Arabidopsis thaliana: one gene and its partner. The protein of the gene in region 2 purifies or fractionates together with the protein of the main gene of each other region. This does not show direct contact. Each region holds a gene or a part of one and is shown on either strand. Other genes may lie near its edges. The genes, in order: AT5G15400 and MTO1.

The links.
Region 1: the proteins of MTO1 (region 2) and AT5G15400 fractionate together in Arabidopsis thaliana (co-fractionation; one large-scale study listed by BioGRID). This does not show direct contact.

The regions. Positions count from the first base shown.
Region 1 is NC_003076.8:4,991,457-5,008,208, forward strand, and holds AT5G15400 (U-box domain-containing protein), read right to left. Parts: upstream 11,798-16,752; 5' UTR 11,452-11,797; coding exon 10,592-11,451; intron 10,121-10,591; coding exon 9,916-10,120; intron 9,775-9,915; coding exon 9,623-9,774; intron 9,536-9,622; coding exon 9,262-9,535; intron 8,989-9,261; coding exon 8,836-8,988; intron 8,737-8,835; coding exon 8,533-8,736; intron 8,452-8,532; coding exon 8,339-8,451; intron 8,229-8,338; coding exon 8,111-8,228; intron 7,956-8,110; coding exon 7,866-7,955; intron 7,786-7,865; coding exon 7,582-7,785; intron 7,503-7,581; coding exon 7,407-7,502; intron 7,324-7,406; coding exon 7,201-7,323; intron 7,119-7,200; coding exon 7,026-7,118; intron 6,942-7,025; coding exon 6,777-6,941; intron 6,672-6,776; coding exon 6,582-6,671; intron 6,485-6,581; coding exon 6,308-6,484; 3' UTR 6,033-6,307; downstream 1-6,032. Other genes in the region: DRM1 (domains rearranged methylase 1), read left to right, coding at 1-203, 286-335, 439-538, 616-662, 745-840, 985-1,084, 1,223-1,320, 2,161-2,853 and 1 more; AT5G15390 (tRNA/rRNA methyltransferase (SpoU) family protein), read left to right, coding at 3,877-4,015, 4,119-4,557, 5,072-5,210, 5,304-5,365, 5,439-5,577, 5,665-5,799; DND1 (Cyclic nucleotide-regulated ion channel family protein), read right to left, coding at 12,004-12,513, 12,630-12,716, 12,803-13,039, 13,132-13,243, 13,341-13,660, 13,847-14,062, 14,231-14,900, 15,279-15,307; AT5G15420 (uncharacterized protein), read right to left, coding at 16,495-16,752. UniProt on the Arabidopsis thaliana protein: Ubiquitin-protein ligase that may function as an E3 ligase in conjunction with specific E1 and E2 ligases. May also function as an E4 ligase mediating the assembly of polyubiquitin chain assembly on substrates monoubiquitinated by another E3 ubiquitin ligase.
Region 2 is NC_003074.8:34,922-49,324, forward strand, and holds MTO1 (Pyridoxal phosphate (PLP)-dependent transferases superfamily protein), read right to left. Parts: upstream 7,239-14,403; 5' UTR 6,945-7,238; coding exon 6,398-6,944; intron 6,319-6,397; coding exon 6,215-6,318; intron 6,097-6,214; coding exon 6,023-6,096; intron 5,916-6,022; coding exon 5,747-5,915; intron 5,647-5,746; coding exon 5,587-5,646; intron 5,507-5,586; coding exon 5,303-5,506; intron 5,209-5,302; coding exon 5,122-5,208; intron 5,044-5,121; coding exon 4,936-5,043; intron 4,849-4,935; coding exon 4,753-4,848; intron 4,662-4,752; coding exon 4,543-4,661; intron 4,437-4,542; coding exon 4,313-4,436; 3' UTR 3,838-4,312; downstream 1-3,837. Other genes in the region: HYP1 (hypothetical protein 1), read right to left, coding at 92-220, 401-634, 931-1,206, 1,293-1,569, 1,655-1,953, 2,029-2,217, 2,299-2,508, 2,594-2,657 and 3 more; AT3G01130 (ATP synthase E chain), read right to left, coding at 10,313-10,456, 10,554-10,601; MYB106 (myb domain protein 106), read right to left, coding at 11,698-12,119, 12,197-12,549, 12,638-12,767, 12,852-12,976, 13,086-13,222. UniProt on the Arabidopsis thaliana protein: Catalyzes the first committed step of methionine (Met) biosynthesis. Catalyzes the formation of L-cystathionine from homoserine esters and L-cysteine, via a gamma-replacement reaction.

The DNA of each region.
Region 1 (16,752 bases), on a different chromosome or scaffold from region 2:
TGGTGATAGTGATGATGTGAATTGGAATACAGATGATGATGAACTTGCGATTGACAATTTCCAATTTTCTCCATCTCCTGTACATATATCTGCAACCTCGCCAAACTCTATTCAAAATAGAATCTCCGATGAGACGGTGGCTAGCTTTGTCGAGATGGGATTTTCAACTCAAATGATTGCTAGAGCAATTGAAGAAACCGCTGGTGAGTTTATCTATGATAGTGTTCTTTGAGATATGCATTTCCGAATTCTGTCAATCAATCAAATTCTGTTAATAATTTGCAGGAGCAAATATGGAACCTATGATGATTCTTGAAACTCTCTTTAACTATTCGGTGAGTTTCCTATTTGCTCAATCTGTCATGTTACTTATGGTTTTCTATTTTTTCGCTTGTGGTTAAAATCTCTTGACACTCCATTCTCTGTTTCTTTGTATAGGCAAGCACTGAAGCTAGTTCTTCGAAATCGAAAGTTATCAATCATTTTATTGCTATGGGGTTTCCTGAGGAACATGTGATAAAAGCTATGCAAGAACACGGTAATTCTCTTTGTTCTTTTTTTCTAGGACTTGGAAACTTTAATGAGGTTTTATGATCTTTCCTTGATAATGTACAGGAGATGAAGATGTGGGAGAGATCACGAATGCACTTCTAACTTATGCGGTAAGTAAACCCTAAAATTAAATTGCATATTGCATAAGAATATAAGATGTCGTTTAATAGAATGTTGTTACTGTTTTTCTAGGAGGTTGACAAATTACGTGAATCAGAGGACATGAACATCAACATTAATGATGATGATGATGATAATCTCTATTCCTTGTCATCAGATGATGAAGAGGTATATAAATTGTTTTTTCCAAGTTTCAGACCTTTGCTATGCTAACATTCCTGCAGATTCTCTTACTTCCAATGCATTGCCATGTCTTACATTTTAAGAAGTAGGTTGTGTACGTTGTATTCTTATCTGTTTTGGAAATGACAGGATGAACTAAACAACTCCTCCAATGAAGATAGAATCTTGCAAGCGTTGATCAAAATGGGCTATTTGAGGGAAGATGCTGCTATAGCTATAGAGAGATGTGGTAAAACGTTTACATGAAGATAATATATCTCTTATCTTTCTGTTTAAATCTGCAAGAAGTTTACATGCATTCCTCTCGCATAGATCCAATTAGCTAGCGTCCTTGCAAAGTATTCATGTTTCTTCTCAAACGTTTCAGGAGAAGATGCAAGTATGGAAGAGGTGGTAGACTTCATTTGTGCAGCTCAGATGGCACGGCAGTTCGATGAGATTTATGCAGAACCTGACAAGAAAGAGGTAATAACTCTAAGTCTCTTGTAGAACCTAAGACACCCATCAAATTTATTATTGAATTATCCTTCTGCAATTCTTGTCAGTTTGATGAGACGGCTCCGGTTGTCTACTTTAAAATTGTGTTATTGATTAACTTCGTCATATACTTGGATTAAGTAGGGCTGTGATCAATCGATGAGAATTAGTTTTTTGCTCATATGTTTGAAGGATTTAGTCTATCCAGACCTCTAGGGTTTTCCTGTAACCTGTATGTTGTTAACTTTATTCAGAACTTCAATTTTTGATTTCGTAATCCATTCCATTGTTCTGTGCCAGATGCATTATTTGGATTGTTGTAGGCTTGTAGCTATTAACTATAGTTTTCAAATTAGAAAAGCTCTTTGGATTGTGAATTTGTGATCTTTGCCATCTTTTTACCTTGGTCAGTCTGATTGATGATGGATGATATACATGTCTCTGGATTTCATTGGTCTTACCTATTATTGACCGTTTCTGTTTTTGATTGGACTAGAGATGCTTTGGTTTAAGATGGCACTTTGATTTCTTGTCGTAGTTCTACTCGGTGTTTCACTAACTTACTGATGTTACTAATACTGTTCTGTTTCTAATCATCTTTGCATTTATACAATTCTTCCTCAAGCCTCTTTAAATGTTTTTTGCCTGTGTTGATTGGGATTCAGCCTTTCTGTCAGACTATTGTATCTATCATGTCACTTAACATGTTTTTACTTCAGTATGCTGCTCTTGTTCTTGGTAGACTTCATTTGTGTTTTGTTACTGTGTGTGGCTAAATAGAAGAACTTACCAAAAACGCACTGAACCTTGACTTTTTGACTGGTGCAGCTTATGAATAACAACAAAAAAAGGCGAACATACACTGAGACACCAAGAAAGCCGAACACGGACCAGCTCATCTCTCTACCAAAAGAGATGATTGGGTTTGGTGTCCCTAATCATCCCGGACTTATGATGCACAGACCAGTCCCAATTCCGGATATTGCTCGTGGCCCGCCCTTCTTTTACTATGAGAACGTTGCTATGACACCAAAAGGTGTTTGGGCCAAGATCTCCAGCCACTTGTACGACATCGTTCCTGAATTCGTGGATTCAAAGCATTTTTGTGCCGCTGCAAGAAAGAGGGGGTATATCCATAATCTGCCAATCCAGAATAGGTTTCAGATTCAACCTCCACAACACAATACCATCCAAGAAGCCTTTCCATTGACCAAGCGATGGTGGCCTAGTTGGGATGGGAGAACGAAGTTGAATTGTCTGTTGACTTGTATTGCCAGTTCTAGACTCACAGAAAAAATACGCGAAGCTCTTGAGAGATATGATGGAGAGACACCTCTAGATGTTCAAAAATGGGTTATGTATGAATGCAAAAAGTGGAATTTGGTTTGGGTAGGTAAAAACAAGCTTGCCCCGCTGGACGCAGATGAGATGGAAAAGCTTTTAGGCTTCCCGAGAGATCATACTCGAGGAGGAGGTATCAGCACAACTGATCGCTACAAGTCTTTAGGGAACTCGTTTCAGGTATGTTACTTATATCAGTTCAGCTTTTGGTTTGAAAGGTGTTTGGGGTTCTAAACTCAGTTGTGTTTTTATATGCAAGGTTGATACAGTTGCTTATCACTTGTCTGTGCTTAAGCCTCTGTTCCCAAATGGAATCAACGTCCTGTCACTCTTCACGGGCATTGGTGGTGGAGAAGTTGCACTCCATCGACTCCAAATTAAGATGAATGTTGTTGTGTCTGTGGAGATTTCAGATGCGAACAGAAACATATTGAGAAGCTTTTGGGAGCAGACGAATCAAAAGGGTATCCTGAGAGAGTTTAAAGATGTTCAAAAGCTAGACGACAATACGATTGAGCGGCTTATGGACGAGTACGGAGGATTCGACTTAGTCATAGGAGGAAGTCCGTGTAACAATCTTGCCGGAGGCAATCGCCATCATCGGGTCGGTCTTGGAGGAGAGCACTCGTCACTCTTCTTCGACTATTGTAGGATTCTCGAGGCTGTTCGTCGCAAAGCACGACATATGAGGAGATGAAGGATTTGAAGACCCAAGTTGTTCTGTTTTGTAAGGCACTTTTTCACATGAATCGAACTTGTATTTTGCAGATTCTTGTTGTTCCTTTCTGCTAGCTAGATATACTAATCCTTGCAAGAATATTTTCAGATTTTAGTTTGGCAAGTCGTGTAACTAAGTTTCTTCCTCTGCAAGAATATTTTCGATAAGTTTCTCTCCAGTAGAAGCAAACTATTAAACCAAATCGAACCATATTAAACCGAAACCATCACATCATTTTTTGTTTTGTAATTTAGATCGAACCATACTAAACCGAAATTATTTCGACTTTTTGTTCTTGGGTTCGAGACGACGACAAGAGACAAGCTCTGTCTGTGGTCGGGAAATCGAAACCAGAGCCTTGGACTGTGTCTCTGCTCTGTGGAGTATCCATTTTCGATTTCTTGAAGGTGAATCCAGCGAATCCTTAATCTCAAGCTCCGAGACTGTGCAATAAACAAAACAGTAGCTAGCAGCAGCAGCAACACATGAACTCGTGCAAATCCCTTATCCGTGCCTCAATCTCTTCCTTTCCATTTGTTCCTCTTCCAAACCCTAATTTCTCTATCACCTTCATCTCCGTTCGCGCCTTTTCTCCTCTCTCTGTCCTTCATCCAAATTCATCATGTACTCTCTCTCACTCTTTCGTCTGAAGTTTCAAGCTTTTATTTTGAATTTCGTTATCTGGATTCGTTTGATTTTGATGTTGATGAGATTTCGCGCCTAACAGGTATTGTAACAGCTCGACGCACATTTCATGGAGCTGTGGCTCTTTCACCGGAGAGCTTAACGGAAGAGTCTCCCAAGGATACTGTGAAAGGATTGTTAACAACCAATCGTGGTGAGGCCTCAAGCTTGATGAAGATGGAGCGGAGGTGTAGCTTAAGCAATGGTGAGGGTGATTGTAGAGGATCTTGGTTTCCTTACGAGGATAGGTTCAGGTGTGGTGAGGTGCATCTTAGTAGCCGTGAGGTGTTGGAGGCGGTGAGTCCTCATATGATGGAAGAGAGGACAGATAGGTTCAGGCGTGTGGTGGAGAATCGAAGCTACTCGGTGTGTCTTGTGGTTGAAGGTCTCTCTGATTTTGGAAACATCTCTGCTGCTTTCCGCTCAGCTGATGCGTTGGGGATTCAATCTGTACATGTTGTTTCCTGTGACAGCTCCAAAAGGTGCCCCTTTGAGGTTGGCATTTTCTGTTTCTTTGTTGATTCATAGGATTTGAGGTGAAACTAGGGATTCTTGCATTTTGAATTTAGACAATGTGCGGTGACCTGAGATCATAAGCTGGTGATTGAAGTCTGTAGAACTTTTGATTGCATCATAAGCTACCAAGATAGATCATGAGTTGGTAGTTATGTTTCTTGGATCACAGGATGGGGATAAGTGAGGACTCTTAAATTTCCGTAAAACATTGAATCTACGCTGATTGTGAGTCACTACTATTACATTTTCCTTCTGAGTCCAAGATTGATCATAAGTTGGCTTTCCTTTTTCTTAGTTCATACGAGATAGAATGGAGAATTGTTACGGTTTTTTGAACTATGCAGTGATACAAGAGTCATAGGTAATATCTGAAAAGATTGATCCATTAGTTGTTGACTGAAATGTAAAAAAGGTTTGATTGCATTGTGTGAATTCATTTACCGTGCTATGTGTGTGTTAATGTATATTATATATGTGTAGGTATAACGGAAATCGCCATGTGAGTATGGGAGCTGAGAAATGGCTGGACATTGAGTTTTGGGACACACCTAAAGAATGTTTCAAAGTTTTGAAGTCTCGCGGTTACAGAATAGCTACAACTCATTTGGGAATGGACACGGTAAACCTCTAAAGATTTGTTTGTATATATTTGTCATCACCATTATTTATGAGGCAAAATGAATGACATTCTCTTGGTGGTAATATCTTATAGGTTTCCATTTACGATATGGACTGGTCATGCCCAACAGCAATAGTTGTTGGAAACGAGGGCAGGTAATGAATATCATCTCTTAGTCCAAATTTGAGGGTTCATAATTTCTTAATGGATTGATTGGGGAATATGCAGGGGAATAAGTGACGAAGCGTTGGAGTTATCAGATCTGCGTTGCAGTATTCCGATGAATGGAATGGTTGATTCGTTTAATGTCTCAGTGGCTGCAGGGATTCTGATGCACCACGCAGTCTCTGATAGAACCACTCGTCTGGTAAACCTATTGACACAGCTAGACAATCATTTACGTTAGTTTCCAGTTCAGTTTATGCTTTAATTACATTTTATGGGTTTGAAACAGGGAAGCCATGGAGATCTGTCGGAAGCAGAGAAAGAGATATTGATGGCTGAGTTCTCACTTCGTCACAGTAGAAGCTCAATTTGCATTGCTTACGAGTTCGCTAAACGTAAACAACAACACTCTACCTCCTCCTAATTTTGAAACCGTTGTCTTATTCTCTCGCTGTTTTGCGTGTTATAGGCTTCGAATGACGCCTATAAAAACTCTTTCGAACTCTTTTTTTGGTACGACGCTTGCTTCATGTACAACTCTTAAATTCTATAAAAGACATCCTTCTGTCGAACGTATTGCCTTTTCAATCGAGTGAGTGGTGTTGATTTCACCATTCTTCTGCATCGACCTCACGCCATCAAAGATTAAGTTAGAAATTTCGCCTTTCAAGAATTGGTCACTCATAACTCTTATGCCAACTAGTAATCCATGAACAAACGTCGAAATGCATAGAAACTCGTGAACACATCGAACTTATGATAGAAACAGTTCTAGACATGATATTTATAAGTTTTTTTCCCGTGGCATCAAATAAGTGGAAAGCAAGCCCTAAAATAGATAGATAAATCCTAATAGAAAAGAAAGCCTAGCAAAAGTAAAAAAAAAAAGTCCTGAATAATTGTTATTATTTTGTTACTTTTGGAACACATAATTAATCAATTAACATATCACTGTTTGTAGTCTGTATCCTTTCCTTGTTGCTGCTATCTTCTCCACTTGTCCGTTTCTTAGACTGATGCGACTTCACAAACTCATCGATTTTCGCCTTCAACTCGATGTCCGGTATCAACATATCCGATGTCAAATGTGCTCGGTTAAATGGATCATGCTGCAGCAAAAGTAAGAGGATCATATACAAAGCCAAAATCTTCAGAGAAAGAGAGATGTGACTGATCAGTGATCATCATTGTGTTAGATAAGCTTACATTGTCGCTGAGAAGATGACGTTGAATGATGGGACGATCAACTGTGATTCTTGAGCTTGGAAGTATTACTGGATCTCTCATTAGCGTGTACTGCCAAAAAAGAAAAGGAAAAGAAAAAAACAAGAACAGACATTAGTGCATGGTAATAAGACAAGATTTAGGTTTAAATTAGTGTTTCTTTCAACAGATAAAGACCTGAATTGGGTCAAGGAACTCGTCTGGTATTTCCCCAAGTGCAGCTTCAGCATCCAGAGCTTCAGAAGCAGCAGCTTTGGCTTTTGTGCCTAACTCCATAAACTCTTGAATGATTCTTCCCTCTTCACCTATTCTCCTAAGCACATCTGCTCCTGCATTGAATAGCTGCAAAAACGGGCACTTGTTTAGTTCAGTAGAGACGCATCTATTATTATGAAAGAGGATTTGGTTTAGAAAGAAGGATCTGACCTGTTCATTATATGATCGGCCATCACTGGAGATGGCACCAGGGAATATGTTTACTGTGTCTCCTCTTGCGAGATTAACATATATGCGAACGATCTTCAAAGTTCACAATCATATCAGTCAGTTTTTTCTCACATACTTTGATCAGGAGAATTGAGTAATTGTAATCACTACTAACCTGTTTAAGTAACTGTTTTGGACGGAATTCATATTTCTCAGGATCTTTCAGGCTTAAAGATTTACGCTGTGGACCCACGAGTTGTAGCAAGAAGTAGTTAAGCATGTTGGCAACCCTCTCAACCTAAATAAGTGCAAACAAACAAAGAAACTCATCAGTTGGGTAATCATAGGGCAGGTTATCATTTCAGGAATATGGTCAGGTACCATCTCAGGGAGTAGGAAAGGGGCAGTGATCTCCTCGGATGTAAATGCAAGCATAGTCACATCTTCATTTGCCAGCTTCATGTCGATTCTAACAATCTGCAAAGAAAATCAAAGTTCTTTATGGGATCGGGATTCGAGTACGAAACAAGATATAAGAAGTGATAATCCAACTAACATTCTCCTGCGAATGGAAGAGTCTTGTTCTCTCCTGTCTCTCTTGAGTTGGTCTCTGCTCCCACTCTGCAGTATTTGACATGTCTGCCTCGATTTGTTTAATCTCGAGAATTTTGTTTAGACTTTCATCCAGAAGATAGATGCTATCATTGACTAAGAAGTTTAAGAAGTTCAAGTACACGCCCTTCTCTTCGTCTTTTGCAATCTGTAACACATCAAATTTGGAAAAACATTGGAACATGATAGTTGAAGTTCAAAGTCATGGCAAGCTCACTAAGAATTTACCCGTCTCCATGCATTTCGGTGACTAGGCACCTGCCAGAGATACTCTAAAAGCTCGGCAATGTTGTGGCGAATATTGAACTTGTCATAGAACTGCATTTGGATAACTAGATTTCAGTTCCAATAAAAGCAAGAACAAATGGCTATTCTGGCTTCCAGAGCTAACATATTCTCAAGTACAATGCAATAGAGAGAAGTTCATTACTCCAGGAATATTATAGCCACTAAACAAAATCTCTTGCAATCACCTGAGTGTGTGAACCCGTGAACTCAATGTCAACATATAGTTTCAGTAAATTCCTGACAAGATACTCGAGCGATAACTGATGTCCCTCAAAGAGAGTAGATGTAGCAGAAGAAGAACTACTGCAGGAAAAAAAAAAAATTAGAATGGTGGACCACGTTACTGCAGAACTTGTTGCATTAGCAACACAAATTGACAAATGTACAGCTTTCTTTCATGGGAAGAAAAACACCTTGAACGAGGCATCCAGCAGTTCAGAACTTCAACCATCTTTGCTCTGAGATACGGGTTTCTAACATATTCAGGACTTGCCATGAACATAATTATGAAGTTCATAAAGTCGTCCTTAAGAAAAGAGAACAACCATCATCAGTGCAAATACAAAAAGAGAATTTCTACAGACTGATGAGAGCAAACTAAGCATACCAGCGGCACCCCGTCCAAAGCTTTGGGAATTCTTGAAGCGAATATCAGCAACTCCATTGCATCTTCAACAAAATGCTCAGGCATACAGGAGAATTCCATAGGGCAAGTTGACGGTAGAGGCATCTTAAAGCCACCGACTAGTCCAACTAACCAAACAACCATTAGGCGATAGAAAGACAGAGCTCGCTGAATAAAATCTCCATCCTTCAATACAGTATAGAGATAAGGCAGCTATTACTATCATGTTACCGGTCCAGAGGAAAAGCCGAAGATGTTATCAGAGCAGAGAATATGATTACAAACCCTCAATATTTGGGCCTCATGGCAAAGCTTTTCCTGCGAAGACAGCTCTAGTTCTTTTTCCATTCGGGATATATCAAGTTCCAACTGTGGAGAAGGTGCTTGATCTCTCATGGCTTTTAGCGTTGCAAGATTATCTTCACCTCTCGAGATGTCCTACGTCATGCGGAAAAGAAAAAGTGAAGAACCATACAATAACAATCTTCTGCAAATTCAGGAATCAATGACACTTTCACAATGTAAACATGTGACTAAGTTCAAGTTTTTGCTATAGTCCCTTCTCGTTTTAACTAACAAACGCCTTAATAAGACAATATGTAAGGAACCAAATCAAATAAGAGCTTTCTGCAAGATAATTTATCACAAGTCGTTTTTTTTTCCAAAAAATCTTCAATATTTCCAGGACGGGAAAACTGTGATGATGATTACCTGAGCAAGATGTTTAAAGTCAGAGAGTGCTTTTAGGAGACCCAAATTGAGGACCCTAGCAGTCATAAAGAAGCATTCACAAATGAAAGTGTATTTAGTTGCTGACTTTGCATTTTGCCCAGAAGCATTACTACTAGAACTTGTGGCTTCTTTGGATTGTAACAAGCGACTTTCGTTCCCATTTTCTCGCCCAGCATCATTTGCGTTTGCCATAGCATCTTTGCCAATCCACTCAGTAACTTCTTCGGATGATGCATGGAGAGCGGTCAAGTCGCTGGTGTGGATCATAAATAATATTGCTCATCATGAAACTATTAAAATCAGTGAGGAAATACAAGTAGAATCATCTTGAGGACCATACCTTAATTTTAAGCGATGGCCACAGAATGCGTATTTTGGATCAATCTTATCCCTTTTCGTTAAATGTGGGTCTAAAAATGGTTCACAGAGCCGGAGCATTACTGCACTAAGGTTAACAAACATGCCTGAGCTAGCACAAGAGACTGGATCAACCTGTCATACAAGATAAACATATTACAGAATGCTGATTTGAGCAAAAAAGACAAATACCAACTTGATAAAACCGAGAGGAGACAATAGCAATTCATGAATAAAGATCCGAAGTATATATGCATCTTATAAACGGATGATTACCTGTATATGGGCTCTAGACGCATTTGCATTGATCACCTCTGCAAGAAACTGTAGAACACGCTCACGGGTATCAGTACTTTTAAGTAAAATCATCAATACATCATGCAGCCCGCTGTACAAAATGTTCATGAAATTTTTAATCGTGGAGAAGGATGATAATAAATCTGCGGGACGACGTTCCGATGCTTCAGAGAAACACTGCTGCCTGATATTCACAAAAACAATAGACATATATCAGCATTTTCATAACAGGTAAAGTATATCCTCTGAGGTGGATCAGGAAAACTCTTATGTTCGCACAATTAAGCCTTGTCAAATACTAAATGGACAATCAAGATTCTTCAGTACAGACCAGAAAAAATGCTCAAAATAATGGATTTCATCCACAATATTCTAACTTAACATAGTGCTTACTAATATTTCTGTTGGTTTCGCCTCTACTGATCATCTAACTATGCTAAATTTATATAATCATGCTTAAAATATGTATACAACCTAACAGTGGCATCATATATAAGCCAAATATATCTGCTTTTTTCCTTTTTTGATCAAGTCTCTCTACTATGAGTAAAAGCTAATCAATAATTCTTACTATCCAAACTTTCTCAATAAGAAAAGAGCCCCAAAGACTACATGATTCTCAGTAATAGAAACCCATAAATAAGTTGGAACTCACCCAACATCAGGTTGACTCTTGAATAGTGTATTATCTGGCAGCGCACTAATATGGAAGAAAGGCCCAAGAATGCTAGTCAACTCCATTGCTCGGCCGTTCATATAGGCACCCCGTGGAACCCACCACTCATGACTAACCAGAGATTTAGCTCCTACTGGTAAGCTAACAAGATACTTGAGTGCCCTCAGTGGTGGCTGGAAATCTCCAAGCACTGATACATTTATAACCGTAGACCTCAAATCCTCATACAGCTCCTTTAGAATCGAGTCCAAGCTATCAAAATCCGAGTCTTTGAAAAACTCATCCAAAAACCCAGGAGGAGCTTGAACCCCACTGCTACTAGCTCCAAACATATCCAACGAACCAGAACCAACCTCAGCAAAGATCAACGGAAGAACCGGAGAGACATTCCTCTTCTTCAACCTATTATCCAATCCACCACTAGGTTTATCCGAGTTCCCAAACATGTCAGGATTCCCCAAGTGAATCCTACAGTAAGAAACAGCAAGCTTCTTCGCTTGTTTAGTGACAATCTCCATCTCCGATCTCAGATTCTTATCCTTCATCGACTGGATTTTCTTCGATTCGTCGTAAGCACGACGGTGGCAACCGATTAAATACGGGAAAGGCGGTTCGGCGTCGGAAAAGTCGCCGGAGAGACGATCTATGAGAACTCTCTCCATCAAATCACGAGAAAGCAAAAGCTCTTTACCTTCGCTGAGAATCTCAGCGGCCGTCATCTCCAAGTAAACAATACGAGGATCGGAATCAGTTGATTCCGTTAGGGTTACATAAAATATCTTCCGGAGGATTATATCCTCAATTTCAGCCGGCGATCTTTGAGGTTTGCTCGTCGCCATTGATTTTACGAATCAAATCAAACACTCGAAACTCGATTTGAGAGATAAATATAAGAATTTTTTTTCTTAAACTTGTATTACCGATGAATCAAAAGCGAAAGAGTTTGGACTTAGCAATTTAAAGTATAATTAAATTTAGAAAAACTAAAATTCACGAAAGAAGAGAGAAACCATGGCGAGAGATTTGGAAGAACTTTCTGGGAGTAGGTTTTTGTTTATGAACTCTTTTGGAGTCTCTGAACGAGCTTTAGCAAGTCCTGAGCTTGGACAAAAAGTCTATATAGGATATATGCAAACGTCGTACTTACTAACGACGTCGTTTATACTTATTAAGACAATTACTTTTACTGCTAATAAAAAATAAAAAATAAAAAATTACCAAGATAAACTCCTCCAAGATTTTGTTGCTCAAAAAATCTACTTTGAACTTAACCGTAAGAGGTTGAAGTATCATTCCAAGAAAGATTTTTTAAAGAAGTAAAGGTAAACAATTGAGGAGGAACAATGAACACACAATTATTTGGACCGATATAAAATTGGAACTTTTTATTATTATTCGAGATGATCATGCGGTCGAATGGACATGAACATAGCTGCATACTGAAGTAACCGGCGTTCACTGTTACCTTCAATGCTATTCTCCGACACAGGACTCATCGAACCGCCGATGTTTTCACCACGGGTTCTTTTCCTACGCCGGCGCCACGCCATCTGAATATTTACCGCTGCCCACGTCCTCCAGTTTGAGGAATAGTATCTTGCGGTCCGCTTAAGCCGCTCGTTCGCGAATTTATAACGGAAATGATCGGTAATGTACCTAAGATCTTCGGATCCGAGGGAGAATGCCTCGATGTTTTCTAGGCAGACAAATGTTGCTGAGGAAGGGGGAAGACGGTCCAGAAACGGGCGACGTAGGCACCATGAGAGTAGCTCGTCGCCCAAGTAACCGCCTGGTTCTAGTGTACTAGTGGCTAGGACGCCTTTGCTTAGGCTCTGTATACGTTTGACTCGTCCACGCATGATGAATATCATTCTCTGTACAGGATCTCCTTCACGGATGATCTGTGACAATCAACAAAATCGAAGAACCTCAGATTTTACTCTTCAAGTAAACTCTTAAACCGAAACCGAAGCAAAATATTGGAAATATAAATTTTTAGAAATGATGGGATGAGTACCTTTTCGTCTTTAGAGAAGACTCGAGGCTTAGCCCGATCGCAAATGTTGTCGAGGATCAAGTCGTCCATGCCCCTGAACAATGGCACCTGAGAAAGATCAAACATGTCAGAGACTTAACACTTACTGCTTTCACAAGTCTTAACAAGATTGTATAAAGTCTGCTTCCTAGTACCTTGTTAATGAGATCAAAGCAAAGATATCGTTTGATATCTCTTCGAAGACCCGGAGGCAAATCATGTATAAGTTCTAGCTCGTCTTCACCACCCAAGGCATTCCATCTCTGCCGCTCAAATCGCCTAACCCTCTGTCTTAACCGGGAAGGTAACTGCCTACGTTTCATCCACCATTCCATATCCCTACACCGTATCTGCATTTTCCTTTTTTTCGCCATTACCGCATGCAAAAACACCTTCAAAATATTGTAAAGTAAAAAGCTTTTTAAAATCTTACATTCCATGAAAACACAATATCATAGAAAAGACATATTCTTGCATAGTTTACCTGAATGTTTCCTATCAACAGCGTGAAAAGTAACAAGCCACTTAGAACCATAACTATACTGAAAATAACCTCGAGCCAGTTGCTTGTGGGCTCAAGATCATTCGCAAATGTGCTGTAAAACGCGACCCCCAAAACAGATTCAGTATGTCAATCAGAGAATTTTTTTATATCCAAGATGTAAACCTTAAGCTCAGAAACAAAGCAATTACCTGAGAGTCATTAGGCCCCAGAAGATGGGGTAAAGGATCTTAACCGCAAGAGAGTTGCTGGAGATGACTGGAAGTGCCCAACGGTAGATACCATATCGGAATGGTCCGTTAGAGTCTAAGCACATAGGCTTATTGACCACACTGGTAAGGTTTCCAGATAAGCATGGATATCCAACTGTGCTTGTCGGTGACACAAATTGGTAACAGACCTCTTCTTTGCAAGCCAGACTCAGATTGCAGTTCCCGGTTCTCATACATTGTTGTCTTATGCAAGAAGCAACACGCTGTATTGCGAGAACATACCAACATCCCCCAGCAACCTGAAACCACCAGAATTTCCATAAACAACAAACTTTAATTTCATATCTTAGGACAGACCTTAGTAGTACTATATATATACACATGGGATTTGTTATATTGCATTTGTTTTAGGACCTGAATATAACCTATTGTTGCAGGACATTATATTCAGGCAGAAATACAATATCTAGCTTGAGAGGACTTACATGAGAAGCGATGAAATATGCGATGAGATTAAGAGCAAAACCCCACCAAATAGTTCCAAAAATGTAACCAGTGACCTTCTGCATCCTTCTCATCAAACAGATGCAGTGATAAATCTTGGGGAGGAACTGGAACAAGAATATTAGCAGCAGAATCGTCATTATCAGCTTAACCTTCTCTTCTCTTATCAGTTTCGGCACAACTAACCAAAACACTGCCTGCAAACAAGCAAAAACACAAAGTTCACATCTTATCTGCATCTCAAATCATGATTCATCAACAGGTAACACTTTCAAATGTAAATATGGGCTTTATTGATAGTAATAAAAAGTTTAGGGTTAATTTCATAATATTGGAATAGTTGGAAGGTTGTTCTGAAAATTCACCTGAGGGACAGGGAGGATGACGATAACATCAAACCAGAAGCCAGTGAGAGAGCGTGCGTAGTGAGACGCGATGGCGCGTGGATCCCAAACGAGCTTCCCACAACCAACGACAAGCGACTCTCTCGAGACGTAGGCCAGTCTGAATTGAAGCCACACGTGCCAAAGATGAACAGCATCGAGACACGTGCGGAGCACCGTGACCACCGCGGCGAACGCACCATCCATGTAAAGACACGCCGGTCCGGTAGTTCGGCCGATGGAAAGCGCGTAGAAGAAGAGCGGATCCACCGCTAAAGCCATCCCACGAGCTAAAAGCAACGCGCGGTTCCATCTCTGCACGCGCTTGCTCCTAGGATCGAGAACTTCACCAAACGGACCTTTGAGACGTCGGAATCTGGTTCGGGCTGGGTTAGGGACAGATCCTTCCTGGATCGGAACTAGAGAAGAGCCGGCGGAGGCACGCCACTCCGGCGCGTGAGCTTGATCGCAGCTAGTTGAATGGAAAGCTGGGACGCCTACTTGTGTGCAAGCGTAACACTCGACGGAGCTTAGCACCGGCGTCTCATCGCTGCCGCTGCTGCTCGAATCTCCACCGTTGATTTGGAGGTTACTGTTTTCATCGATCCCAGTCGTTTGTCGACGGAACTTATCGGAAAACAGTCCAATCCACCTGAAATATTCAAATTGTAATCAGGAATTAGCAATCTATCGCCAAAAATCATTCAGAATCATCTCACATTCGTTATATAGTACACAATTATGAAAATCGATTTCGTTGCTAGATGAACGATTTCGCATACTCAAGCGAGATTATAAGGAATTGCATGGTGACTTGTTAGCTATAGAACAGTTCAAAAAACGAGTGAATTTTCCGGGAAAAGTGTTTCTCGGGGAAAAATAATCAATCTCAGGTAAAGCTTGTAACCTCTGGGTAAACAGCAAAAGACACAAAATACATATTCAGAATTCGGGAGTGTTTTAGCGTGAAAGCACCATTAATGAACGAATATAGATATGAAAAAAAATGGGAATTGTGTGGTATAAAAACCTGAAGATGAAGTTGGGGTGAGAGGGCATGATTGAAATAGAGGAACCACCATGGGAGAGGGAGAGAAGAAAATTTGCAGGGAGTGATTGGGAGAGAGAAGAGTGATTTGTATAGAGAGGCAAAGCCGCAAGATTTGTGTGTGATACGTACGTCTCTTAGTAGGATTCGGTTTATTTGTTAGGGGAGATTCCGGTTTAATAACTAAAATCGAAGATCGAACTAAATCAGAAACCGAACCGGGATTGACAAGGGGGAGATGATGAGCTGTCAAGTGTCTGAGAGATGTGGTGGCTTGCTTAGCAAAACGGCCCACAAATAGACATTGAACAAATTGGATTCCGTACAGATCATGAGGATTGCTACGTTAAAATGGACCCATCATTTTAAATGTAATTTCTTTACGTTTAATCATTGAACTTTTAGATAAGTTTACAAATTTACTTGCTTTATATAGGAAGATGTCATAATTCTAACTCTATAAATACAGTAGAAGATATTTTAGTGAATGTACGATTTAAGCATATTATCATTTGATATTATTCATTAATTATACTTTTTTTTGTCAAACATTCATTAATTATACAAATAACAGATTTTCATGATAATGATTTTTGTCGTTGTCATTAACATTTACTGATAGATGTATTTGACTCAATTATTGATATATATGTTTGTTATATACTATATTTTGTTTGCCGTCAATTGATACTTGTTATATATGTGTTTTTATTACGGATTGAATACATGTTGACGTACGCCATATCCCTATGATATAACAACGGAGACATACGACCAGCCTAATCTCGTAATTAAGCCTTTGTTGATTGCAGATACAGAGATACTCCAGTTACTATAATGTTTTTTTGCAGCATAATACTCTCATTTTTTCAATTTTCATTATTGCTTACACTTTTTAAAATAAAAAAATTACCTACAGTTAGTTTACTAATATATATGATAAAATGCACTTTTGTGGTCATATATAGTACACACGTACCTGACAGTGAAGTTTCCAAAAATTTGACAGTCATACAAATCCATATCATGCATTAATAATTCGAGTGACGACCAATATCAGCGGACCACACACATCGAACACAAATTTCTATTTATTTATTTTTGGGTTGGATAAAATTCAGCGTTTATTGGAATAAATAACTAAGGATACAGTGCAGATGAATAAATGGGTATGGTAGATGAATAACTTTGTTCAAACTCATTCTAATATTGCATGTAGTAGAGGACTGTTAATGCACGAATTAAACAAGTACGGGTGAGTCTCTGGGGAAGGTGAAGAATCAATCTCTAATCCACGAGCTGAACTTGAAGCCGGACAATCGACGGGCTGAAAGGCTTGTTGCGAACTGAGAGCATAGTTGAGGGCGCTACGAGGCGATGCTGTTTCGAGCTGGTGGTTCTGGTGAGCTGGCTCTTCTGGGCGAGCTGGATGATCTTCGATGAGCGGACTTCTCTC
Region 2 (14,403 bases):
TTTAGTGTGTTCTTTCATGGATTGCACCAGGTATAGTAAACCAACAGCTTCAACATAAGCAAACTTCAATAGCTCAAGTAAAAAGGTGATCTCAAGGTGAGATATCTCTCGAGTCCTGTGATGCCGAAAGTGCAGGATCTCGGTAAGCAACAACGAGTTCCGAATAGAATTCAGACATGTTTTGCTCTCTCTCGTCTGCTTTATCTTTGTTTACCAGACACTGCAAAAGTAAAACATCCATCATCACCATATAAAGGTTTAGAGTAGATGCTGTAATGTAATAAAGGACTATGCATCATGTTCTGTTTGTTTTGTTTAGGTTAGGAATAAAAGATTATCTAGCCATATTTTTCTTCCATTGGATCAAAAATATGAGTAACTATTTCTCTAAAGCCTTTACCTGGGTAGGATAAGATTTGAAATTTGGTAAAAACCGTCTTTGGCAGTAAATGCTGAAAAGGACCGTGAGAACCGGAAGGGGAATTGTTAAAGAAGATGCCACTGGAAGCTCTTTAAGCCCGAATAATCCGACTGCAATAATGTGCATTAGTACCAAAGAGAAGATAGTATAGCTGTGAACTATTGGCCAAAACTTTCCACCAGTTTCATACTTGGCCGCATATACGTTTAGGAGCTGCAGCACAAAAAGGTGATGTTATTTCTATCAACAAGTTGCAATGGATTCATTAAGAAGAAAAAGAATTATGTGACGAGAAAATGGATTCTTGATGTAACGTTTATGTCATGACTGAAGCTCCAAAAAATACTTTCGGTTTAAAGATGCTATTCGAGAATTTAGAAAAGGGATCACATATAAAGAGAAGATAAAAGTGAGATTCCATATAACGAAAATATGTGTAGCTGATTCCTATATGATTTTATCAGAGATCAACAGAGAATTATACTTAGGAGTGAGATTGGTTCCGTTACCTGGTTGCGGTAGATGATATATCCAAGACAATAGTAGACCAACAAGAAAGGCAGTATCAATGGCGAAAGGAAGAAGTAAGTTATACCGAGGAGTCCAAAAAATAGAATCCTTGGGATTTCTTGGCAGAAAGGAGTTGAAGGAACCTCAAATTCTTTGTCATCTTCCTTGCCGAAAAGTTTCGTTATGAAACTCCAAAGAAGAGGAACCAAACGGAGGATCTCTGATGATAAACCAGTCCATCCAGAGGTCACAACATAAGATACAAAGAACGATGCCTACACCAAAGATTAAACAATAAACATGACTCGTGGTACGAAAAGGGAATTCCGGAAACCTCAATACTGAATTTTGTGTTCTTTACCTGTGCTGGCACAGCTGCAGCAAGCACACGAGGAATAGTCTTAGGTTCAAGGAACACATTAACACGATAAAGGGCAGATCCGGACAGTACATTTGCAAAGAAACTGTTCCATACAGTAAAGATTAGAAGCTTGATACATGCAGATTTCTCAATCTGGCTATGAGAAATGAATCCTTGCATTGAGGAAAGTAGAAGCATAATGGGTGGTACTATAAGAAGGAAAAGCTGGAAAATGAGACTCGGAAGATATCCCGTAATCACTTGACTCACGATTTTCCTGCAATCATAAGAAAAAAAAGAAGATTTTGTAATTGTTCAATTGAAACGAAGAACCATCTTTATCTAAATAGGGCTTTACTTACATATTTAATATTCCTTTTAGAAAAGGGAACCAAGTCTCCAACTGGTGAAGATTAGCAAGACCTTGAACCAATACAACGGGGACAATGTATAGGATCAAAAGAGCTACGAAAGCCACAAGCACCACTACATTGGAGATCCATCTTCTCACAAACGATGCAGTGAAAAATGGCCAATGAACATCTTCGGGCTCCGGGGCTGCCTCAGTTAGCCATTGTGTTGGATCTATTCCTTGCTGAATGTTTGTTGCTATTGCAGCACCATGTCTTGTCCTAAAGGAAACAAAAGCAGCTGGAACTTCCTAAAAGGGTTTGCCAAAAAAAAAGGAATGAATATGTTGAAGAATGCAAGTAGTCACAAAAAGACAAATTCTCACCTCTCCTGCTAATAAAGACTGTTTCAATCTCATGTCATCTTCTAACTTATCAAGCTTCTTTTGGTAATGGTCAACCACATCAACATTATTCCCAAACATCCCTAGAAACCCACCCCACCTAGACTTTTGGCGAGATATGCTTCCGGATTTTACTCGTGTAAGCTTCTTGTACAGCTTCTCAGCATCATTCTGCAAATATTAACAGATATATGAAATCCAGAAATATCAAAAGGTAAGGCCTTATAGAATCCTTAGTAGGTAGAAGCTTACCATGAGAACTTTCAACTTGTCTGTCCGATGAACAACTATATGAGAAAGATACGAGGAAGAATGATATTCCCTGAAAAAGTTTTCTACTGTCTCACTAATACTGTTCCCGGATACAAGAGGGACGCCACTGACCAGAACTGTAAATTCTTGTGGCTGAGGCTTGGATGAATAAAGATGAGCAATCCGCTTTGTTAAAATGTACTTGTGCTCCTGCAAAGATAGTCCAAACATTATTTTATGTTCCCATATAGGCGATATAAAGTAGAATGGATGGACAAAACAAAAGGCGTCTTACATAGTAAAGTAGAGAACAAACAACCGCCGTGAAGATGTATATTGCGCAAAAGTGGATCCACAGCCTGAAGCAAAACACATACAAGCATAAGAGATCGGTTACGGACAAGTAGAAATCGGGATACTGTTTAAGCATAGCTTCGAGTTCTTTACTTATTTGATCCATCGTTAACATTAGAGATACTGAAGTTATCCATAGACTTCTTTGGGAGGTCGAAAAACTCTTCAAACTCTGTTCCCATATAATTCACTGGAAGAAGTATGAAGATCCCAACCACAGATGCAAAGCTAAACACTCTTATGCTGCCAAACAAAAAAGCATTGAAGTTTCACAAAAAAAAAGTCAAACTTGAAGCAGATGCTCAATGAATCAATCAACCTGAAGACAAAGACACGAATGAAGACCAAAGCATCTAAGCCAAGATTGGAGAGGATTTCATCATTGGTAGGTTCCAATGCTCTTTTGACCCAACCAGCAGTAGGCAAAAGCCTCTCGAGGTTGAACTCATTTGACTGCTGAGACTTGCCATCTTTTTTAACAAGACGTGGACCGTATACAGTGACATTACTAGGCTGCTTTCTCAATATTGAATACAAAGTGAAGAAGAGAAAACAGAGGCCAAGATTGATTCCCACTGAAGTTAAAAGTGCTGACAGAAGCATAACTCCAAATTCACTTAGACCAAGAGAAGCCTGCCAAGAATCTGCAAAATTTGGGAGCAACACGAAGAAGATATCAGATATGTGTAAATTGACACACAAAAAGGAAAGGAATTTACAATTGAGAAGAACATGGAGAGTACTATGGTGGTAAGGAACTGATAAACCCAGAATCAATCTGCACAACGTTTTCTGATCTGGATCAAATAAAAAGCAAGAGACGAATTTTCCAAAATACATACCAGGAGAAAAGATGAATCAGTCGAGGCGGTGATCTTTTGGTTTGAGCTCTCTCGCCATACGTAATAAGTCCTCGATGCGACACGATACCATTTTTCTCGATTTTTCCATTCCTTAAAAATAACCATCTTTTTTTTCATTGGGATTCAAAAACAACGAATCGTAAAATGTTGCTTACTGTTGGGTCCGGATCCGGAACTTTGGGTTGATTACCCGCTGGACAACACATGGATTTGACAAGCAAAAGTTAGTCTTGTCTTAATGTCAATTTAAAATTTAAAAGCAAATAAAGAAGATAATAATACAATTACGTTTTGGGCTCTCGTCTTTATCAGTGGACTTATTAAAAAGGCCCATTAATCATTCTCTCAAGACATGGATTTTGCTGAGATCTACAAATCGAAATCGAAATCGAACTACGTATTGAAAGGAAAGAAAACAAAAAAAGACGAGGCATTTATGAATGCCTTATATGTTGTTGAAACAAAGAGAAGAAGAAGCAGAAGCTAGAGGGTCATGACCATTGTTCGAAGCCGTGACCTTGAGGTTCCAAGCACAAGGAGTTCTTACCACAAAGCAATGGCCACAATGGTCGTTCACATGGGACCAGTTATCTAATTTAACCTCTTTAAGACGCAAAACGAACTAAACAGAATTTATTATATAGCACAACAAACATCATAATAGTACACGATTATTTCGGAACGTAAATGTCGCGGAACAATAGTTCAAAGACATCATTATTACGGTGACTGAAAACAGCAAAGAGAGATAAATAAAGGACAAAGAAACGACAGCGTTTTTGTGTGATGTGTCATTTTCAGATGGCTTCGAGAGCTTGAAGAATGTCAGCTTTGACATCTTCAAAGTCTTCAACTCCAAAGCTGAAACGAACCAAGTTATCTTTGATTCCATACTTTAGTCTCTCCTCTTGCGGCAGATCCCTGAAATCAAAACCACCCATTAGAAATCGGAAATTTGTTCGATTTTGTCAAAGACGGAAGCATATGGAATCAAAGATAACTTTGTTCGATTTTGCCAAAGACATACCAGTAGGACATGATAGCAGGTTGGTCAACAATGCTTTCGCAGCCACCGAAGGATGGTGCAATGTAAGGAATCTTTAGAGAATCCACAAACTTGATTGTCGTTTCAATGTCTCCATCAATCTACCCAAGAAAGATAATCAAGGTGTTCAGGATCATACTTAAATGCTAATCTGGAGTAGATAGAGATTAGGTTGGTGATAGATCATATTACCTCGAAACTGACCACACCTCCAAAACCAGTCATTTGTCGCTTGGCGAGTTCATGTTCGGGATGACTTGGAAGGCCTGGATAGTACACATGACTCACCTGCAAATCAAAATTGCATCGATATTTACTCACATGACTCACCTGGATAGTGTCAGGATATTTACTCAAAAAAGAGATATTGCATACCTTAGGATGTGCCTCTAAAATTTCGGCCATTCTAAAAGCGGTCGAATTCTGTTGCTGTACACGAAGATGCAATGTCTTCATGCCTCGGATGATTAGGTACGCAGCGTTCTGTTAACAAACCTTTTATGAGAATTCATGAATTAACAGCATAATAAGAGGGATAAATGAGACAGTCAAGTAATTTACTGGGTTAAGTGTTCCTCCCAACACATGATGCAGATTGCGAATTTCTGAAACCAACTTCAGTGAACCACAGATGCATCCAGCAAGAACCTAAACCACCGAGAAACAATCTTTGTTAATAACTAAACAACCAGTGAGTGCTCTTTTGAGATGTTTTACAATATATGGAACATGTTTTACTCACATCATTGTGTCCTCCAATGTACTTTGTAGCAGAGTGCACGACAAGATCAGCACCAAGAGCAAGGGCTTTCTGATTCAGAGGTGTTGCAAAGGTGCCATCAATGCAAACCAGAGTTCCCCTCTTGTGGCATATTTTTGAAACTAGCTCAATGTCGACACATCTAAGGAATGGGTTTGTCGGGGACTCAGTGAAGAACAGAGATACCTGCCAGACAAGTCGGAATAAATTTGAGACACATACTCTCTTTCCAACTGTAAAAAGGACAATAATGTTACAGAACTGACCTTGAACTCATTCACTGCAGCTTCAAGCCCTGCGATATCAGCAGGATCAATCACAGTGACCTGGACATAAACATGATGTTAAACAATCAAGTTGAAAAACTGGAATTGGAAAAAGGAAGACAGTAATTAAAAAATTTAGATGCAATGGAAATCTTCTTACAGTGATCCCCAACTTGGGAAGAAAATTCTCCATGAAGATCCTAGTCTTCCTGTAGCAATCAGTAGTAGTGACAATGTGTCCACCAGCAGGAACCAATGCCAAAAGCATAACAGTGCTTGCACACATCCCAGATGCCATAACCAAAGTTGATTCAGCCCCTTCAAGTGCACTACAGCAATATATTAATCAAACAAATCCAAAAGCATCAACAACATAATCTTCAGGAAAGGCAAGTGCAATTATAAAACACATTATTAAAGATAAAATAATAATAACCTTATCTTATCTTCAAGTACCACAGTCGTAGGGTTACCATAACGACCATACTCGAAACTCACACTCCTTTTCTCCTACAATAATTCAATTTTTTGAAGATAAACAAAGTCAATAAAACTAGTAAGAGATTCTTTCAACCTAATAGGTGTTATTCTAATCCATAAAAGAAAGAGACTGAATCAATCAACGGACCTTGAAGTCAATAAGCTCAGCAGTTTTCTTGAAGAAGTAGGCAGATGTGTTGACTACAGGAGTAGTGATAGCATCCGTCACTATACCACGGCCTAATCTTTCACCTGTGTAAAACCTAATTTATCAATCTCCAACAACAAAATCAGATATGAAATGACTGAATCTGGTGGATCTAGGAGGTACCGGCATGAACAGTGAGGCTCCCATCGGAGCTCAAGAAAGAATGTTTGGAATCCGTCAGCTGTACACTACCTATCTTCTCCCTGATCCCCTCCTCGGCCACCACAACCTCCTCATCGACGCTTTTCAGCACGACGGGAGGCGCGGCAGCCACAGGGGCGGCGGCGGCGGACGAGGCTGCGGCTGCAGATGCGGCGGAAGAAACCGCAGATGCAGACGAGGTAGCAGCAGCCGCCGCCGCCGAAGGTAACGCGGAGGATGGGTTGTTGGACCACTTAGCCGCCACGATCTGTGCAACACCGATGTTGCTACAGTTTCTACGGGCTTTAATGCTCAGCTGACGGACGAAATTAGGAGGAAATCTTAAGATCCTGGAGGATAATCCAGCGTCCCCGGTGAATGAGGAAGAAATCCCGGCGGAGGCATGGACACGACGGCGAGATGATCCACCGACGGGAGAACCGACGAGATCTGGATCAGAACGGCATTGAAAGCCGGAGATTGAGGAGGAGGAGAAGATGGTAGGGCACTGGAATGATGAGACGGCCATTGTTGTTTCGTTTCTCAATGATTCTCTCGTTCTCTTCTCTCTCTTTTTGTTTGTGGTTTAGAGGTGCGTGAGGGCTTTCTCCATGGGCGGGTTTTTAAGAAGCCAAATTGCTTTGTCGTTTTGTTTTTAACCACTCTGGTTTACATTAACTTGACCAGACTAAACCATGCCTTTTCCTCTTACTATTATTTTTCTAATTTTCTACGTTACAAAAATAGAATACGTTTATTGCCAGATTTCTACTTACTTATCCAAACAATGAGTTGTTGTTGAGTTTTCAATCCAAGTTCCAACTACTCATTATTGTTAAACATTCAATTTCATGTTGAAAATTAAAATTTGTACTTACAGATTAATCACCTGAGATATTTTGAACGTACAGATTTTTTACATGAAATTTATTTTATTTTTAAAAAGAGAACACATCATAAATTTACCAAATGTGGTGTTTTTTTGTTTTTGACTATGACCTCTTTTTTTTTTTTTTTTTAAGGTCTGTAGTCTTCAAATAGAATCTAGGCAACTACAACTACTCACAATTTGTTAAAGTTGCAGCTAATTTATACATTTAAAGTCAAAAAAATAGTTGTGAGTTTGAGACCTTCTCTATTTAAAACTCAAATGTAGCATGAAAACGAACGATCAAAATGTACTAATTAAATAATTGTTTTTTTAATTAATGAATTCAGTGTAAAAAGAAATTTCTAACAACTGGACCCGAAATATAAAATAAGGTCCACTTGTGTGATAATGGTCTGGGTCCAAACTTCAAAGTCTTTAAATAAACACACCATCACACTTCAAAAAGCTTTGTATTGATTTGTGTGGTGATGGATACTTTGTAATTAATTATGTCATGTAAGAAAAGTGAAAAAAAAACACGGTAACTTTTTTACAGGGTCATAAAATTACGGGAAAAATAGAAATAAATACAAACCGAATTGTATTAAGGGCATCTCCATCAGTGAGATACTTTCTTAGTTTCTAAAAAATAAAAGATATAAGTATTTTAATAAATATTAGTTATATAATTAAATTTTAACAATAAAATAATATTTGACAAATAGATGATATACAAGTGTTTTTATGGGTTTCTCAGAGTTTCTCACTTGAAAGACTAATTCTACTCTCTCTCATACTTTTTGATTATATTTTATTTTTATATTGAACAGTTTTTTAATGAGAAACCATTGATGGAGATGGTCTTAATAATCAGGAATCACTAAGAAAAAGATTCGAAAGAGGACAGATATACCTCAAACTCAAAAGGTGTATTCAGGGACCAAAAAAGGAAATGAAAAAGAAAACGTCAATCAGACAATCACTTTCGTAAGCCTGAGCTTAATTGTTGGCAATAACAAAAAGACCAAAGCCGAATGGCTTATCCGAGTCATCTAATAATATATAATTATTGATCTTATTACAAAACTGTTTTAATTTGTTTTTTTCTTAATGTTATTTACGAAAATGCCACTTTGTATTGGTGAACGTGCGTTTTGAGACCTGAGGGTAGGTCGCGTTGCTTTGAAATTCGATTATGGATTTGTAAGGATAGGTAATAGCACTAAAAATATACTATTCACTATAATTATGTGATTGATCAAAACAAACATAAATTAAAGATGCCGTAAGTTATTTCTTAATTGATATGAAAAAGAACTTGAATCTTAAGAACATTTTATGTTCTTTTTTGTTTTTGGTCGAAACAATATGTTATGTCCAAGCAATGACAACAAAAAAACATAGGATTTGAGGTTTTAACTCAGGATTTAGACTTATATAATATCCTCATTGTATAAAAATATTTATTTATTTTCTATTAATAGTAAAGATTATATTTTCTTTACCCTTTTAGTAATTTAAATCCAAAACTTATGTTAGTTAGTTATTATATATAGGGACTTAATATACCTCAAGTTGATGGTAGCCAATGGACCACAAAAACACTTCAAGTGGTATTTATATTTAAATGTTGAAAATCATACTAATTTATTCTTTAAGTTCTCATCCGTCCAATGAAGAAAGCACCAACACAATGAAATTAACCGATTACTGCGTGTCCCATGACTCCCATTAAAAGTATAATGATGAATATATTATATAGTATTGTATTATTGTAGTGTTCATGGTATGGTTTTGAATATTCTATGGATAGTGATTTTAAAGTTTCAAGATGGGAATATAAATGATGATTTGATTATTCAAACTAGACATAGAACGCCATATAGAGAAACTCTTCTCAAAATCTCAAAGAAGATACTCATCTTGTAACCTTTAATTTTGGGTGCAAACATTTAGGTTTCTACAATAAGTTCAAATAACTTAATAAATTGTAGAGAATGAAAGAGAACAGAAAAAGGCATTTAAGAATGCCTCTATTACGTGAGAAAGAGAGACAGCGAATGTGTGAGTGTGACCAATGTTCGAAGCCACGACCTTGTATAGCTCGAACACAACTTGTTCTTGCCACCAAGCAGTGACCACATTGGTCGTCCTGAATAGCCAACTGCTTACTTTTAACTCTGCGCCACGGCGGATATTTATTTATTTTAATTGAAAACAAAAAAAATTCTTTTTTTTTTTTTTTTTTTTTTATAAATTATTTATCTGGTTAAGATGATAAAAATATGGTGTTTATTGAATAGCAGGAAAGTACCAAAGAAGAACTCAGGTTTAAACCAAAACGGGTATACGATTGCTTTGTCAGACAGAAGATTTTGATTAAAAAAACAGAAAGATGGAAAAAATGTCACCGAGGGAGATATAGCTTAAGGAGGAAAAGAACTACATTTAGAGATAACAATCACTTGGCTTCATAATCTTATTGAGAAGGAGAAGAAGAGTTGGTTTAGTGATGAGCCTTTGCTTCGGCCTTAATCTGCGAATTCTTCTTTATCTGCATATGAAGAAGAAGCATTTGTTGGTATCATCATAACTTATTAGCAAATCACATCATAGTAGAAAATTAGATTCCACAATCTGAATGAATAAGGATTGGGATGCTCTAAAGGAAGCAACATAGGCTCTACTTTCATACCGATTTTCTTAGGGTTTGGAAACCAGACACAACATCGCAAACTTATGCTTTACAAAGGCAAGAAATTACATTTCAGTGATCAAGTTGCAAATCATTGACAAACTCTTCTACTAAACATCAAGTCAAAACTATGATCATTCAGTGGAATAGGAGATCAGAACTCAGGCAGAAACATTGGGGTCAAAGAATCATGTTACTTGTGTATAGATGACCAAACCAAAAGGAGCAAAGTAGCATACTAATAGTCACGGCACACATGATTCGATCGAGAATATCATAATTCAAAAGCCATAAACATTCGAATTTGCTGCTATAATGGCAAGTGTCAGATTTAGGATGTCAAAATGAAACCCAATGAAAATAATTTCTCATCTGATAAAAACAAGACAAGGAAGATAGAGAGATGTACCTTTAAAGCCTTGAGCTTGATGTTGCCGTAGATGAGACCCAACCCGAAAGCCGAAGCACGAGCAACCTAAATCGATACCAAAAAGAAAAGACTCGATGAACTCTTCAAAATCCAAAATTCGACAAGTCAAGGCTACAGATCGAGAAATTGATCCGGGGTTTACCAGAGCAAGAGTGCTGGTACCGGAGTAAAGTCCTGGAGGTGGCGCCATTGATTAGCAGTTGAGATTAAACCCTAAAACCCCCAAATCGATCGAATCTTCCGAAATCTCAGATTCGCGATAATGAAAGACCAGAGCGACTCCTTTGTCTCCGTCTTCTCAGAAAAGCAAATTATTGGGCTTTATATGGGCCTTTATTCAATAGTACCAAACGTCAGGCCCATATCCTTCTTACTATTACGCCCAAATTTGCATGCACATTAAGTAAACGATTAAGGATTTACTATCAAATTCGATGGATGTAATGTAACCTTTTGTTAAAAATGTCTTAAGTTTAGTGGACTCGAATCTATTAGTAATATCTGTGTTTTATTACTATGGATCATACTGTATATAAATAAATTTATGATAAAGAAAAGGACATGAAACAACCAAGCATTGAATTTTCTTTCTTTTACTCGACATGTCAACGTGTTGTTGTTATAATTACAGCCTCTTCGTTCAGACATCTCTCATATAGAAAAATTTGAAAATTAGACAAAAATACTCCACAACCGGTGGATAAGTAATATGAATATCTATTTCCTTCAATTGCTTGCACTCAGCAACTTTAAAGAATTATGGAGTGGTTCCAATCCTATATTTTGAAACATCTTATCAATATAAGATTAAGGAAAGCTCAACTTCTATAACTCAATAGTTAAAGCGCCTAATTATTCCCAAAATTAGTAATTTAAATTCGAACAAAGCAATGATACTAAAAAGGATCTTTGTGCCGATAGGCTTTTCAAGAAAGCTCATTCCCAAAACAAAAACGTATTAGGATTTGAAGGAGGATCCCTTATTATGGTTTATGTATTTGGCCAAATGACAACGACGTTATCACTTAAAATATTTTTCTAACAAACTGTATACCAACAACATAAAAGCATAATATATAAATTGTAAATTGGATTTGCAGGTTTGCTACATGCAATTCTGCAAAAACGAATACTAAAATTAAGCTCATTTTCATCCCATATATATATATATATATATATATATAATAGTTTATAAAGAAAATAAAGATAAGTAAAAAGTATTGGAAAGCTATCGACATTTAAAAAACAATCTGAGAATTAAAAATGTTTGGTTGAAGACCCTTAGATCAGAACATCGTCGCGGAATCGGACGGTGAAGAATCAACCAAGTTGAGAATGCTATTCCAGTAATTCTTGTTATCCTCATAGTAGTTATACTCACTCTCATTCCCCACGCCCGCCGTCGCTTCGTTTTTCCCGGTGGGTAAACCCCGGCCGACCGAATCACCGATCAATAGACTCGTGAATCCTTCTCCTATTCCTCCACTACCACAGTTGATCTGCCTAATCCAGTCGTGTTCATGTTCTTTGACCAGACTCACATCGGAGGAGGTTGACGAAGATACGGCCAATTCAATCATCGCCGAGGACTCATTGTTGTTATTGTTTCTATTTCTGCTGCTATCCGTAGGGATTCCTAAAGGCATCAGAAGATTCTCAGAGAATGTCACCGTCGATGTCGGAGATTCAAGCTGTTGGTCTCCGTTTCCTGTCACAATTTTCCATTGATACGTTACCAAAACCAATCAAAGTTGAGAGTTTTTTTTAAGACGATGTGTCCCTTACCTTGGTTTGGTTTAGTCCAGTTTGTTGATGTTTTTTGAGTGAAGCAATGTTGTTGAGGAGCTGCTGATTTGTTAAGGTTGTTATTGTTTTGGTAATGCTGTAAATGGAGAAGCTTTGATTCTCTAGCTAGCCTTGCTTCAGCTTCGAGTCTTGCACTCTCCCATTGAGCCATATGACTAAGCGTGGCTGCGTTCTTTGATTGTCCTGTGGAAGACGAAAGAGTCTCGTTTTTGTGCTTGTGAGTCACTGGATCTATCCCCATTTTGATCAGACGTTTCTTCAAGTGTGTGTTCCAGTAGTTCTTGATCTCGTTGTCTGTCCTCTTTGGTAAATGAGTTGCAATCGCTGACCACCTATGACATTTAAAGGACGACGATCAATTTGCTTTCAAAGCAATCACTTGGTTATTTGGTTTGAAAGCAGAGATTGTGATTGAGTCACCTGTTTCCGAGGAGAGCGTGGAGTTGAATGATGGTTTGTTCTTCTTGTACAGTGAATTTGCCTCTCTTGATGTCAGGTCTTAGGTAGTTAGTCCATCTGAGTCTGCAACTCTTTCCACACCTTTGGAGACCTATAAGGAGTTTGAAGCAAAGCTTTGAATAGAGCTAGAAGAAAATGTGTGGTTTTGTTGAAGAGAAAAGAGCGAGCAAGTTACCGGCTTTCTCAGGCAAAGAACGCCAGCTTCCATGGCCATGTTCTTCAATATAAGCCAAAAGTTTCTGATCCTCTTCTGGAGTCCAAGGCCCTTTCTTCAACCCGGCCTTATCACAACATGGCGATCTGCCCATTGTTTTCCCACACAAGTTATTAGTCTAATCTACTGAAGAAAAAGCTAGCTTCAATCTGATCCACGGTTTAATAACCTAGTGTATGAGATAGTTGTCATTACATGATCATGATCAGTATGATCACAAAAGCTGCTCTCTTGGCGTCACTCTGATATATAGATGGAGAAACACAACAGAAGATGTCTCTGTTTAGGTTCTGTAAGCGCCCCTTTTCCCGGTCTCTGACATGGATTGGCATTCAATTGGATGGGGTCGAGAGATATTATTACCTTTGTGGCTCCAACACCTTGATTTCCTTTTAAAGACTCAACAGAGCACCCAATTACTGTAGCCATCTTTACCTTGAAATTGTACCTCTCAACACAAAAGTAAAACAGTGAATTTCAGAACCTGGAGTAAATTTTAAGGTCAACATCTATCAATAGCTCTCACTTTGATAACCCTGCAACTTAGGATAATGTCATTGAGAAGAATGTTTTTCTCATTAGCCTTAAACAAACTTTGTGGTCCTTTAACAGTTTTGACATTTAAACCATTCTTGTTACTTTCCCGCATTTTTCTCGCGTCAAGGTTCGCTGTCGACAGTCCCCAAATGCACTAAACCCATTTAAGCTAGTTACAAGTTTTAAACACTTCTCACTAAAACTCAATTATCTTACACTAGGGTCTAAAAGATGCTCAAGGTTTCTTATTACAGGTATCCTATTGAGTGATGGTTTCTTGAAAGCTACAAAGTTCTTATTGTTTTGTCTTACTTACGGTCTTGCCTACAACTAGTTACCCTAATAAGTTACACTACTTTATGGAAACGTGTTTATTGATTTCTTCGTTTCACATTTTAGTTAGCTTTTTGTAGAAACTCCACAATAGTAAATGCTGTTAGATGGCGGTGAAGAAGTGGAAGCTGGCACTATAATGGGAAAAGCAAATCAGACACAGAGGATTAATGATATTTGGAGTAACTTAGAGCAAAAAGTCTTAATGATTCATAAACCCTGATTATAGAAGGAAAAAAAAGGGAAAATGCAAAGTAGTTGCAAGTAATTAATTGGTTGTCAATGATGTCATTAGCTTAGACTTGTTGTTTATTCAATTAGTCATTGCTCTGCAAATGGTATAATTCTCCCTGTGGAAGCAACAATAGTTTTATGGTAACACATTTTTACACTAATAGTCACTGTCTCTAAAGTATCAGAAAACTATGACCGCGGTAAACACTGAGTTTCAACCATTGTAAAAATTTGGAACCCTTATAAATGAAGAGAGGAAACACTAATGTGGTGGGAGCAAGAAGAAAGGAGGTGAAAAACCTTTCCTTGTCTGGTTCCTTTACCATTTAATGAAAGTCCCACTGGCTGCTCCACTGTTCTTGGTGTCAATTCATCACAAAATCTATTTTTTCACAAAGATAAACTAACA